2 linked regions of the Struthio camelus genome follow. The protein of the gene in region 1 interacts with the protein of each later gene in a pairwise test. Links are inferred from orthologs where the notes say so. Each region holds a gene or a part of one and is shown on either strand. Other genes may lie near its edges.

Region 1 (7,184 bases):
ACTAAAAATAATGTCATCAGAATAAATTCTCTATAAATGTTTTCTAAACCCCTTGAATTGTGATTATCCTTAAAACTTGTGTTCAGATGGCTCCTGTCACGCAGGCAGAATGAGGGCTCCAAGTGGCATGAATAACTGCCCTTGGCAGCACTATTCACCAGAGAAGTAGCTAAGTTGGGGTCCTGTATGTTCTGACCTGCTCGAGTCACAGGTCATCTATTCACACCAGCTGCTGCAGTGTCCAGTAGAATCTCCTGCGTTACTTTTTAAAGCCTTCTATATGCAGGGACAAAAAATAGATCAGAAGACTCTCACATATGCCATGAAGATCCTTTCCTGACCTGTGTGCTGCGCAGTCACCTTCTCCTCCAAACTCTTTCCAACCAGCCTCACCTCCCCGGGCTGTTCCAAGGGTTTTGCCTTTGTTTTTACGAGTGAGCCTGAGGTTGTGGTGTTCCCTTCTGCTCATCCTTTGGTAGGGCTGGTATGTTGGGATATGTTGAATCTGGAGCTAAGACTCTGGGAATTGCAAGGGAGCTGACAAGTGACAGCTTAAAGGAGGAGTCAGATTTGGGAGTCCTGATAGTAGGCAGAATCTGTATCTGAACCTGAGCGAACGGGCTGCTTCTCAGAGAAGCTGAACACTGTCTTTGCCTGGAACCAAAAGGAAGGATATAGGTGCTCAGCATCCCTGGAATTGAGATGCCAAGCTACAGGCTGCCAATAAATAAATAAAAAGCTGACCTCTGTTCCCAGGCTGTAACCTATTCTGGCTTGGAAATACAACATTTCAGATGTGGAAGGATATGTCCCTGCTTGAGCAGCCCATCCTGTGAGCTGCCGTCCTCCAGGGAAGCAGGGTGGTTACGTTCCCATTTTCACGGTGCGGCTCTTCATATGCCCTCAGAGAGCTGTGTTCACTTTTTAAATCACAGCGCTCTGTACTTCTGACACTTCCGTGCTGGATTGCTAAGTACCGAAGCTACAACATGTGTTTGTCCTCTGTTCCCTCCTGCCTGATCCAGTCCATCCTTAGAGAAAAGTCTCACTCTTTCCTCGGCCTCTTGAGCTCTCCTGTCGTACGCTGGTTGGAGGGTACTTGAGGCTGCTTTTGATACAAACTCCCAGCAGAATTTGTGTGACTGTCCGAAAAAGGCTCCTCTCCGAGTCTGCCCTGCTACAGCTTTGTCCCTTTGTTTCTCAGGCGTAAAGGGTGCCTGCCTTTTGCACGCTGTCTCCAGCTTAGCCGGCCAGCCCTCGTTCAGCCACACTCTTAGGAAATCTTAGTGGAGAGTTAGACCTGGCAGATGGAGGCCTGTTACCTCACTCCACAAAAATGCTTTGTTATTGAGAAAATGGAAACTGTCTGAGGTTTGGGAGCTGAATAGGATCATTGGTGTCTGTTTTAACCGCAGTTTGGTCGTGGCTGCTGAACATTCCCCTAGCCGAGCATTCCCTTTTTCTACACCCATAATCTTCAAGTCATCGGAGAGCTGCAACGATTTAACTCATTAGCTGAGTGAATGCTGAATACTGTTGCATACTCTGCAGAAACTTCACTAAAACCTCAGCATCTTCCAGCAAAAGAAAAAGGGCTAGCCAATAAATAACCCTTTGCAAACTGTTCCCCAGAAAAGCGATTTCCTACAGATACTAAGCCAAGCTCGACTCTTTTTTACAGTCTCAGCTGTTCCCTGTGTTTACTCTGATTATTTTAGAAAGTTGTATTAAATTATGTGGAACTTCTTGGAGAAAAAAGAGGGGTATGCATGGAGGCTTTGGTTTTGTAATCCTTTAACACAGGTATCTCAATCCCAGTTCTGAAGAAAAACTTCTGTGCATCAGGAAATTTTAAAAGCAGGTTTCAGCAGTCTCCTGAGTGCTGGGAGGTCAGGAGGACAGGAGAAAGAATAAAAACAGGATTCAGCTCTTTGCAAGCTGGTTTTCATATTGCTGTGAATGACTTAGGTTAGTCAGTACCAGTTCACAAAAGGGCATTAACCTAAATACAAGCCTTGTGTTAGTTAAGATATTTGTATGCATTTATGAAACTATGATATCTGATACCTCCTGCTGAGAAGATTGCATAAGCATTATTCACCAAGCACCCTAGCAGAACTGACAGGAGCAGTGTTAGCATTTTGGAAGGGAAATGAACACTTTATTTATGTATTTTTAAACTAATGAATCTTAGCAGGCCAAATGAATGTCTTCCAGCTGCTACAGATGTTTTACATGACTAAATATCTTAGTGCATAGAAAAACCTAGAATATTGGAACCACAAGATTATAGATATTTAATTATTGCCCTGGAATGTAAATATGGCCTTGATATTTTGAATTTGTTTATCTAGTTTTCAAGTGCTCACACAGAAACCCCTCAACAAATACAGCTCCTAGTTTGTTATCTGGGAAGAAGAGTGATTATTCAGCATCTTCTACATGTGCCTTTGAATATCAGAGTGGATTTTAGTAACAGTAATTTGCTTAACTGCAGAAATAATCCCAGCTGGTTCCAGGCAGAACCCAGGATCAGTGTTTTAGCTATAATGAACTGTTTCCGTTTGAGACCCCCTACTCTCTGTGGGTTTACAGTGTGACCATAAAAATCCTTTCCAGGCTGAGCTCTGGCTCCTGAGGTCTTTGGGGAGGATCTTTTTTTTTTTTTTTTTCTTAATATAAAATGAGAATTGTAAAAACAAATGGCAGTTTATTTGCAAACTGTATCTTCCCAGTTTAAAGCCCGTTCTGGCTGTGTGTTGTTCCTGTAACCCTAAAGCAACCTTATTTTTGAATAATGTAAGCCCACAGGATTTCCCTCATGTGAGTGTGTTAGAAGTTGGATAATTTCTGTTGTAGGTCAGTCAGTGGCTGCAGATCATGCCGTTTGCTACTAAAACAGCATATATATTAACTTAGAACTGTTGTGGAAAAATGTTCTGGATTTTCAGGCTCAAAAGATGTTAAATAGTAATAATATAAAATGTTGAACTGAAAGGCCTGACTTCAGCGTGGTTGAAGACAAAAAAATTCCTCCTTGAGGTCTGCAGCTGAGGGCGGTATTCCTAGATGTTGCCTAGGATGCTAGGATAGTGAAGAACCGAAAAAAGCAGATCCTGAACTGTCTTTGAGCACAAAGACTACTTCTGAGAATCACGATCCCAAGTACTGGCCTAAACTACTGACTTTTGCCATGCTTTTGACCTTACCTTGGAATTCCACTACCCTCATTTAAGAAGAAAATGGCTTTTCTGCTCTTCAGAACTAACACAGTTTGAACAGAGGTATAACTCTTGGGGTTCCAGCATTCCAGTGCCTTCTTATGAGTCAACTTGCTCATTTTTAAAGCTCCAAGTTTAATTACCAGGAGTATCTAGCAAAGACACAGTGTTATTTGGACAAAAGATCTGGAGTGCAGAGTAACTGCGCAGGAGTGTGTCCATCCGTCTCTCCCTCTCCTTTTCCCGTTTCTCAGAAGCAGTTCGGTCTGTGGAATCCATTTGGACGTGGGTCTATAACGTGCATCAGTGGACTTTGTGGTTTCCAGGTGGATTGGGATAGATGCTCCATGTCAGAAGAGGAAATAAGCTTTCCAGCTTAATCACTGGACAGGACTCAGATTTTGGTTCTATTTTTAGCTCCACCAGGCATGCATTGTGCCAAAACCCTCCAGGGTGTAGGTCCCAGGAGGGAGGTAGAGTAACTCCCTGCCCTGCAGGTGCTGTAAGAGCAAATAATGTTTTTGCTGGTGACATCTTGCAGGGAATGGAGGACGCAGTAATCCTATGAAAGGTACAGGATTTTAGGTCTGGTTAACTCTGGAAACTAAGCACTCTTCCACTTACGATCTTGCACTGGATCATCACATATGTTTGTGTTATCTGCAATAGGGAGACAGGGAGCTAAACTTTCTGTTTAGGGACGCTAATATTTAGTTCATATACTGGAATGAGAATTAGGTCATTTCACCTGCCCTTTTCTCAGCATACGGGCGGGCATTTTTACATAAAGAAGCCAGCAATGAAATCTTAAGGTATTTCACTAGCTATCTTACACTCAGTGAAAACTTTGATACCAAGAAAATTGCTGTAATATCTCATTCAGAGTGTTCTGGAATATGTAGAGTGATAGTGGTACTTACCAAGGAGTCATTAATAGCAAAAAGTACACAATGTGTTGCATGGAACTCGACCAAGAAAAGTTTTATTTCTTGTATTTCTCAACCCTATGCAAACGTCATGTAAGTCACAGGAACATTAAGCCTGGCCCCCTGAGCCTGTATAAAAGTCTTGCATGTGTTGTTTTTGGAGACCCTGAAGAGTTGTGTGTGGAAAATCACAAACGCGTTTCAGGTTGGTGAAGGTGTTAGACCATGTGCTCGGATTATATCATGCTTCATGCTCTGTGGAACAATGACTCAACTAAGGAATGGTGAAATCTGTGCTTTCAGATCCTTTATAGTTTTGAGTTTTAATTTTGGAAGAAGATGCAGAACTGGAACTCTGATTAAGAGGGGAAGGGGGCAGTCCCAAAACGTTGACTAAGTGGACCCCCAAGTAGATCATTCTGTACTAGTCCTTTCCAGTGGAAATCGATGCGAGTTCTGCTGCTGACTTCGTTAGCACCGAGACCTGTTAGGAAAGGCTTATTAATAATGATGTTTATTAGCATTTAACTTTCTGTTATGAGTTTCGCTTGTACATTCTTCTTTTCTGTCATCATGACATTGGCGGGGGGAAAAAGGGTTCAGAAGTGTATTATATCTGACAAAATTAGAATCTGGAATTCTTATGTTTCTTATGAAAGTTTAGAGTAACTTTAATTGTAAGAGTCTTAATTTCCAGCCGCAAGTAATGAAATCTGAACCTCCGTAGGAAACGCAATCCCTGTGCTGAGGTCACCCTCTGGTTTATGATGTGACTGCTTTTGTTTCTGGGCAAGCGCTCGGCTGTTTTGCTAGTGCAGCGATGATTTAGTAGTGAGAGGCTCTGGTGTGTCACACCTGCTGTAACCGACTCCGCGAGAGCCACCAGGAGAGCCAGTCCTGCCTTGGCTTCCTGCGTCGCTGCAGCCGCTGAGACCGTGCTGGGTGTTACGCCGATCCGGGGCGTTCAGCAATGCAAGGTAACGGTTAAGAGAACTGGTCTGAGGTTTTTGTTTGTGGGGTTTGCCGATTTGGGACAAATGCTCTGTAAATAAATCATTTTTGTCTGGATCGGTCGGGGGAGCAGAGGGGAGGGTATCCAGGTGGTGGTGTTCCCTTGCCGAAGGGAAGCCTGCAATCCTCCAACCGCCCGAGCACGCGACCGGCGTTGGGAGCTCTTTCATCGCGCCGGGGCACCCCGCCGCGCTCTCACTCCAGCGGACGCTTTCCTGGGACGGGCGCGGGCGGCTGCTGGTCTTTTCCGGCAATGAGCGGGAGCAGCCTCACTGCAGCTAAGAAATCGGGCGTTTCTTCTTGTCGTCTGCTTCGGGGCTGCAACGTCAGCTCGTGCTGGTCTTTACCTGAAAGCCTTGGCGAGAGGGCCCTCTGTGCTGGCACCCTGGCCGTTCAGTTCTTTGGTGTCGACGGCGAATCTGCGTCCTGTCAGTCGCCGTCCAAATCCCGGATTTCTGTGAGAGGATGAGGAGCCACAGGCCTGCATCAGGGGCTTTCTGACATTGTTGTTCCTTCCCTGTTCGTGCAGGGCGCCTGCTTTCTGTGCAGCAGCCGTTTTCATCTCTTCTCAAGTTCTTAGGCACGGTCAGCGCAGGCGCTTCCCCGTGCCGCGGGCCAGCAGCGCTGCTGGGTGCTGCGGTCCCAGGCTCGATGCCGTCGGCGTGGCGAGCAGCGGCGCTGCTTCTGCAGGGGCAGACGTATTGGAAACTTGATGTTTAGCTGGGTCGCGCGAAGGCGTTCGCGTTTAACTTTGTGAGCGTTTGTGCCCGTTTGTAATAGCTGTTTCCACTTAGTTTCATGGATGTGGCGACAGTTTTCAGCATTGCAGCAGAGCGTGGCAGAAATCGGAAAGCATGTCGCTTCTTGCAAATCTCTTTTTAGTCCTCACGAGGACTTACTTCTTAGAGCTTTTACGTAAAAAAAAAAGTGACGATTATAACTGACGGCTTCTCTTATTTAGAATGTGCAATATTTAAGAGTAATTTAAAAGGGTGTCAGTGAGAAATGCTCTAACAAGGAGACTGACTTGCAGATAACTAACTGTGTATGGCAGAAGTAAACGACACCTGGGGACCAGCTCATCAAGCCAAGAAAGCATCAGCTGCACGAGGTGGAAACTTGTTTCATTTTTGTGTTGGCAAGGCAGTGGTTAAAAGACGAGAGTGTCCTCTTGCTTTCCAGGATCCCCTGCCGGTCTCCATTGGGCAGTTCCTTGCACTCTCCAGGCTCAGCTCTGCTGCCCTTGTAGAGTTACCTTTTTCCAGGACGGCTGCAGCTGGCACATGCAGCATCTCCCAGGCAACAGATGATCTTAGTTTTGTTTCAGACCACAAGCAAGCAGTTCTGGGGATGGTAACCTGAGACAGCCAGTCTTTGCCAGGATTCAATCCTTCCCCAGATTTAGAAGGTGCTGATATGCTGGGGGTTACAGAGTTGTAATTGCCTTTCCTTGCAAGGGACACTAACGGCTGTAAAAGGTCCTTTAGACAGAGACTGTGCTTGCTCCTCATAGGAGGCCAGCACACAGGTGCCCACAGTTCCTGATTAGACAACAGGAGAGACGGGCTGCTGGAAAGAACGTGTGGCACACAAGTGACATTTCTGTGTCTCCCCGCCACCTTGCACCCAGCACTTGCTTCGCTCCGCTGGTTTTGCGTGCCAGGAGAACAGCCTGGAAAGGCACAAAAGTGCCAGGGCCATAACTCTAGGTTATCTTTGCAGTTGGTATATCTGGTTGTATGCAAGAATCCAACTACAAATGCTTGAGACTGGGAAACAAAGAATCAGCTCAAAAAGGGAATATTTTGACCAAATTAAGGGGAAAAAAACAATCTCTTTGCTCTTTAAGTAATAGCTGTGCATTAAATGAAATGTCTGTTTTATATGTCTTTGCTTGCTCCTGTAAGTAAAAGCTGCTTTGTTTATAAAAACTGAAGTTGAGCAGACCTTTAATCAACAGAAGAGCTGCCAGGCTTTCTGGAGAAGACAGTTAATAAGGGACTGGGTTCAGACCAAGCAAGTTCGC
Region 2 (6,954 bases), on another chromosome or scaffold:
AGCTCATGTGAAGGATGCACCTCAAGTGACATCAGGGTGACTCTACGTTTTCTATACATTCTATTGCTCTTTTGGAAGAGTCCAAAAAGAGCACAAAGCCCGACAGCTGAGGTTTTAAGTTAATTTGGCGTGAGTGTAAAGCAATGACACATTGCACAGGAAATTATGTAAACTCCCCAAATAAATTTTATTGGTGAACGAGAAAAGGAGGATTTCCCTGTTACACAATCTTCATATCTAGAAAATAGCAACAAGACAGACTCTGTGCTACAGAAACGGGCAACAACTCTGCAGCAGAGAAGACAGAAGTGAAGTCATGAGTTGTTTTAGCCTTGTACTACGGGAAGCAGTGCTCTGAACACTACTGAGAAGAGTGCTTTAGGGTGGTACCTACAAAGCTACATTATGCTTGTTTGCTGTGGAGCACGCAAGCTATGTATTACTTCTGTTCCTACTGGGGACCTAAATCCCTAAGTCCATTTCTTTCTCTCCATAGGATAGCTAGGGCACTCCTTCATGGTTTTCTACACAGTTATAGAGAAGCTAGAGCCAAATAAATTGTTTCATAGAATACTGATTGGCTTGGCAACTGCACGGAAGGAGCTCTCAGCAGACAGCTCCTGCTCCCAGCACCATAAGCCTGCCTTACCCTCATGACAGGCTACTGTTTGATCACAGCTTGTTAAAATAGTGCTGAAAAGCTAAATAGGCAGCCTTGTGATTAAGGCACTTGCCAAGGGGAACTCAGCTCTTTTCCTACCTCTTCTTTAGACTCTGTGAGACTTTGGGTGAGTTGCTTCATCCCACTGGGGCTTGGCCAACTGTGGAACACAGATAAGCAGCTCAAGCATGCTCTGTGTATTTAGATCTGGAAGGGCTTTGGACAGAGCACCCTACTATTTTTCCTGCAGGGATGATTATAACACAGTTTCTACACACATGGTGCTAGATACTCTACAGCTAACACTTGGCTACAGGCCCTCATTGTCACTGCTGTGAGCAAAATGCACCCACAGTAGCAGTTCTGACAGAGCTCCATGCAGCGGAGCTGCAAGCATCAGGTTCAGACCCGGTGTACACGACGCTCCAGCTCTTTGACTGCAGTAACGTTCCCCCTGCGAGCTAAGCCAGTGGTAGGAACAGAGGGAACTTGTGGAGGCAAGCACAAGGGAGAACAAGGCCTGTAAGTGGCCAGCTATTTATTGCCAGGAGGCTCGAGAGGTAGCTGAAGGATTCTCAGAAATCTTAGAGCTCCCCCATAGGTCACTGCCACAATTTTCCCCAGAAGGCCATGTTTTGTTTGTCAGGATTTTAGGATAACACACAATAGAAGTATTTATGCCTAACAGAAGGAGGAAACACATTTTACACTCTAAAACACCTCACGCACCTAGCTGTGCAAGGATCTCCATGCTGACTGTTGGTCAAGACTCTCCTGCCTGTATTTTCTTTCAAAACTATGGAGAGGTTTTGCTTTCCCCTAGTTCTACATAATTTGGATAATTTCCTTCTGAAGTGGCAGGAATTACCTTTTATGCTCCAGTAGCAGAACCCAGCATTTCTTCTGCAGTTTTAACTGGAAGTTCAGAAAATGTGGAACAGATTCCCAGCCTTTGGAAGTCTTTGCAATTTTCAGTTCTGTGTGTGTGATCTGAAGAACTCTGTGGCCTCTGCAAAGCACTAACGCTCTTACTACTCCATTTTGCTCAGAGGTTCACCTGGAGGTTGTCTACTTCATTTAGGGATGATGAGAATAGAAGAGAAAAGGCTGCATGCCACAAAACATCATTAGCAAAATGCATCGAATCTCAGAGGTCATTTGCCACATACCTAAATGGAGCAGTGACTCAGAATGCAAGCATTCATTGAGCCACGGAGAGGCTGCAAGCCGAGAGCAGGACCTGGAATCTGGGAGTTCAGGCACTGTTTCACTCACCTGCCTGTCAAATGAATCATTTAAATTTCAACAATGTTAAAATACAAGCCAGCATCTCCAAGGCAGCCAGCAGCAGACAAACCACTGCCAGCGTAGGACAATGCTTCTGCTGGTAGCCTCAGGTGTTACCAAAGATGCAGCGCCTCCACTGACATTGAGCTGATGGGGCTCTGCAGTTTAATTTTGACCAGCAAATAGTCCACACAAATCTCCATGAAATGGGACATGTAGACCATGGCAAGAGGCTGGAGCTGTCCTTGCTACCACTTTTGAAGAAGAGTATTTGTAAGGCAAAACGCAGAACATTGCTCCATCCCTTCCAACACTGGCAGCCAGCAAGCAGAGTCAACAGTTGGTCCCGTTAAGAGGCATTGCTGATATTACGGTGATAATGCTGCAGTGCCAGTAAGGCACAGGGTTGGGAGCTAGGACTCATGTTTACCAGGTAGCTTTCCAAACATACCCACGCTGGCTGTCATCACAATTACAGTTCAAGACAGCCTTGTTTTTAGCAGGTGTGGCTGCCGCATCTACAGGCACCTCTGCTTCTCATTAGCCCTAGCTTTACTCAAAGAGCAAACATTTCCTTACCTGGCTTGATTCAGGGAATTCAATCTATCTAGCTGACTGGCCTTGCAGAGACCTTGCAGGAGAGACTCTAATCCTGACCAGGAGCATGTGAAACATTTGGTGTGGAAAGTAATGGCAGGAAGGTTAGAAAAGTTCAGTAACAAGCTGGCTTGGTGCTCCAGGAAAGAGCCCAGTGACTGCTTCCACTCTAGCGCTGCTGTTGCGACCCTGTGGGGAACCAGTTTGTGATCTGTTGCCAGAGCAGTTTGGCAAGTTTTCAGACTTCGCTGTGTGTACCCCCTGGCTAGTCACATTGCTGACACTTCCCGATTGTGACAGCCAGGCTGCAGGCTCTCTGCAGTTGACCTGACCTCCAAGTGGAGGCAGAAGTGCCTGACCTCCAAGCGGAGGCAGAAGTGCCTGACCTCCAAGCTAAAAGAGCCATTTTTGCTGTTTAGCCCCAGTATTCCAGCACTTTGAAACAACGCCACAAAGACTTAATGCTTTACACCAGTGAGCAAATGTTTCATTAACTCCTATCCCATTTGCCATTGGCTAGAAAGAACAGGCAGTCCATGGGAAAGCAATGCACCTAGCAGAATGCTTACAGTTACCAGAAGCACTTTGCAGTCAAGCGGAAACATTCAAACATGTAGACTTGAGTGCAGAGACTGCAGAGGCTATAGTAAGCCATTCTGAAAGGTCCAAAACCCAAGAATCCACACAATTCCTACCTTCCCAGCCTGTGACCTGAAAGAGCATTTATAGTTAACATTAATGCAGTGTTTTCAGAAGAGCAGAGCTGCAGCCAGCTGCAGTTGGCAAGATGCAAAAGCAATGCTGTGTTTGGAGGAATTCCAGTGATTCATTGATAGATGTAAAGGCACTTCATTTTCTAGATTTCTTTAAGTATCTTTTTTTAAACATAGTTTAATACATAATATTTGTAATGCATCTTGGAATGAATTGGTCATCGCCAATGAGGCATTGCAAAATATAGAAAGAGGAACATTTGGGGCTCTCAGATTCCCCTTTTTTGCTTCTCTCATTACATTCAAACCCGTTAGTTCTGCTGCAGATGGCTCACGCCCTCTGCTGCTCAATTTGAATCAATCTGGCAATATCTTTTGCCACAAGACTGATAAGTCACTGCAAAATGTAAATATAGGGCATGCTTGTAGTGGGACTACACCACCTGAGTGTAGTCTGAAGCCCTGGCATAGCTAGACAAATGAAAAAATAAATAAAGAGAAATCCTAACATATACAAACTAGTTCAAGTTGCTGCCTTCTCTGCTAATAAAGAGTAAAGAAAATAAAACCCTCATAGTTAAGCATTCTCCTGATGGGAAACTCCAAGAACGGGATGCAATCGTAAGACTGTCAGGATCACTGTTATTAATTGCATTGGCAAGTGTCATGAGTTTCCAGATGCTTCCTCCCTCCTAAAGAATTCTTCTACCAGCTTGTCAAATTTCTCTAAGGAATTCTGCTTTAGGACATTTAAAGGACTGAGTAAATACTGCTCTGCCAATCCACATGGAACAGTCTCATCAGAAACAGGTGACTGGCTAACAAGGTTAGTCGATATTACTACTGCTGGCTGTTCTCCATTCAGCTGAGCTGGTGTACACTGGCTATGGGGACTGTGGCTGTTGATATCCATCTTGATTTCCTCCCCTTTCTCCTTGCATGTGCGACAACAAATGCAGCCTTCTTTGGAGCAGAAAGCTGACTCACAGTTCTGCTGATGAACCTTAACATCCCTAAACGTTTCAGACTTGCCAGTATATTTCTCTGGGGATTCAAAAACAACTCCTCGAGGCACAGAACGCTGAGCAGCTCTTTTCAATGGACACACAGATTCCTGTCCTTTCTTTTTCTTTTTCTGCTGTACAAACTCTTGCACAGGCTCTGGGATTTTGAGGTCAGGAAGTGCTTGGCGATCAGAACTCAGATATTTCTCAAAGTAAAGTTGGCACATGCTGCCCCTCACAATCGGGATGACTGAGCATGGTTTCAGCCACTTCACAAACTCACAGAGCTCTGAAAAGGATGAATGGTCAGAGTAGGGAATAGGGTAGATGTTGGGGTGGGTGACCTTCACAGGCCTGCCGGTGGGGAGGATGGCAATGGTAGGGTGCAGCAGGTTCCAGCTGACGAGAGTGTCCCAGCGGATCTCAGCAACGTCCACGGCACGGATCCAGCCGGCCCCTTCCTCGGTGGTGAACACATCGGGCAGCTCCAGCAGCCGCATCTGCTCCAGGCGCCAGGGGCTCACCACAACCCAGGTGCTGAACTCCACCGCCAAATCCACCAGCAGCGTCTCCTTCCCCAGACTGTACACACCTGCAAGTAAAACCATCAGCAGAGGGACAGGGACATGCTGAGGGAGCGCGAGGCCATGCTGAGGGGGCCAAGGCTCTGCAAGGGGGCCACGCTGAGGGGGACGAGGCCACGCTGCCGGGAGGATGCTAAGGAGCGCGAGGCCAGGCTGAGGAGGACACACTGCTGAGGGGACCACGGCCCCACTGAGGGCAGGGTGCCGAGAGGGCACCGAGAGGCGCTGCGGGGAACGAAGTGCTGCCGAGGGGAGGCGGCGCCGGGGGAGCGCGAGGCCGAGGGCAGGCGGCCTGGCTGAGGCGGGGCGCGCAGGGACACGAGGCCGTGGCCCTCACCCACGACGACGTGGTGGCGCGGGTGGGCGCGGATGAGGCGGGCGGCCAGGCGGGCGGCGCAGCGGCGCGAGGGCAGGCTGCGCCCCGGGTGGCAGTGGGTGTTGTCCAGGTAGAGGCGGTCGAGGCGGCGGCCCCGCAGCACCGGCTCCTGCTGCATGGCGCTGGCGTAGCGGAAGTCCCCTGCGAGGAGAGGGCGTCAGGGCGGGCGGCGGCGGCGGCGGGGCCGCGGCGGCCCGCCCCGTACCTGTGTAGAGGATGGTGCCGAAGGCGCCCTCGAAGAGGAACATGACGGAGCCGGGGCAGTGGTTGGAGTCGAGCAGCGTCACCGTCACCGTCCCCGCGTCGCCCTCGCCCAGCACGTGGCTCTGCCCCACCTCCAGCGGCCGGATCCAGCGCGCCGGCACCTGCAAGGGGCCGGGCGGTGAGGGCCGGGCGGTGAGGGCCGGGCGGGGCGGCCCCGGGCACGTACCTGGAGGCGGCGGTGCAGGAGGCGGGCGGTGAGCGGCGAGCAGTAGACGGGGCGGCTCCAGGTGCTGGACAGCCCCACCGTGTGGTCCGAGTGCAGGTGCGACAGGAAGAAGAGGCGGGCGCCGCCCGCCCGCCGCACGCTCCAGAAGTCCACGGCGATCGGCGTGCCGGGGATCACCGTCCCGTTCATGGCGGCGGCGGCGGCCCCCCCCGGGCCGGCAGGGGGCCCGGCGCGCAGGCAGCGCGCGGCTCCCGCCCAGCCGCTTCCCGCCCAATTCGGCGGGCGGCGCGGCGCAGGCGCAGGCGGGGCGCGGGCGGGGGCGGCGCCGGAGCGTCAGGGGGCGGGGCGGGGGCGGGGGCGCAAGCGCATGCGCACTGCACCAGGGCCGCGAGGGGAGTCCGGGTGCCTCGCCGCCCCGGGGCGGCGCGAGGTCGCGTCCCGCTCGGCTCTGCCCCGCGGCCCGGTTCTGCTCCGCGGCCCGCTCGGCCCGGCCCGGCCCGGCCATGCCGTACCTGGGCGGCGAGGAGGCGCTGCGGGACCTCCGGCGGGCCCTGGCCAACCCGCACGTGCAGGCGGACCGGCTGCGGTACCGCGCCGTAGTCCTGCGCGTCATCCGGTACGGCGGGGCCGGGCGGGACGGGGGGGCTGTGTCCTGCCGTGACAGGGGGGCTGCCGCGGGGCGCGGCGTGCGGGCCGTGACAAGCCGTGACATGGCAGGCAATGGTGTGACGTGGCAGGCCATGCCATGGCGTGGCAGGCTGTGGTGTGCCACGGTGGGTCATGCTCTGCCATGCCGTGACATGGTGGGTCGTGTTGTGCCATGCCATGGCGTGGCAGGCTGTGGTGTGCCACGGTGGGTCATGCTCTGCCATGCCGTGACATGGTGGGTCGTGTTGTGTCATGCCATGACGTGGCAGGCTGTGGTGTGCCATGGTGGGTCATGCTCTGCCATGCCGTGACATGGTGGGTCGTGTTGTGTCATGCCATGACGTGGCAGGCTGTGGTGTGCCATGGTGGGTCATGCTCTGCCATGCTGTGACATGGTGGGTCGTGTTGTGTCATGCCATGGCGTGGCAGGCTGTGGTGTGCCATGGTGGGTCATGCTCTGCCATGCCGTGACATGGTGGGTCGTGTTGTGTCATGCCATGACGTGGCAGGCTGTGGTGTGCCATGGTGGGTCATGCTCTGCCATGCCGTGACATGGTGGGTCGTGTTGTGTCATGCCATGACGTGGCAGGCTGTGGTGTGCCATGGTGGGTCATGCTCTGCCATGCCGTGACATGGTGGGTCGTGTTGTGTCAT

What was found. The genes of interacting proteins can lie anywhere in the genome.
Region 2: the proteins of FHL3 (region 1) and HIPK1 interact in binary tests that used the Homo sapiens proteins (3 or more experiments, as listed by UniProt). The two-hybrid records come from large-scale screens. The link is inferred for Struthio camelus from reciprocal best matches to the Homo sapiens genes FHL3 and HIPK1.

Annotation. Positions count from the first base shown.
Region 1 is NC_090964.1:11,190,300-11,197,483, reverse strand, and holds the start of FHL3 (four and a half LIM domains protein 3), read left to right. Parts: upstream 1-4,165; 5' UTR 4,166-4,171; coding exon 4,172-4,352; intron 4,353-4,879; exon of another isoform or gene 4,880-5,117; coding exon of another isoform or gene 5,118-5,124; intron 5,125-7,184. UniProt on the Homo sapiens protein: Recruited by SOX15 to FOXK1 promoters where it acts as a transcriptional coactivator of FOXK1.
Region 2 is NC_090965.1:9,909,624-9,916,577, reverse strand, and holds the start of HIPK1 (homeodomain-interacting protein kinase 1), read right to left. Parts: upstream 3,021-6,954; 5' UTR 1,530-3,020; intron 1-1,529. Other genes in the region: DCLRE1B (5' exonuclease Apollo), read right to left, coding at 3,923-4,854, 5,184-5,363, 5,428-5,587, 5,653-5,841.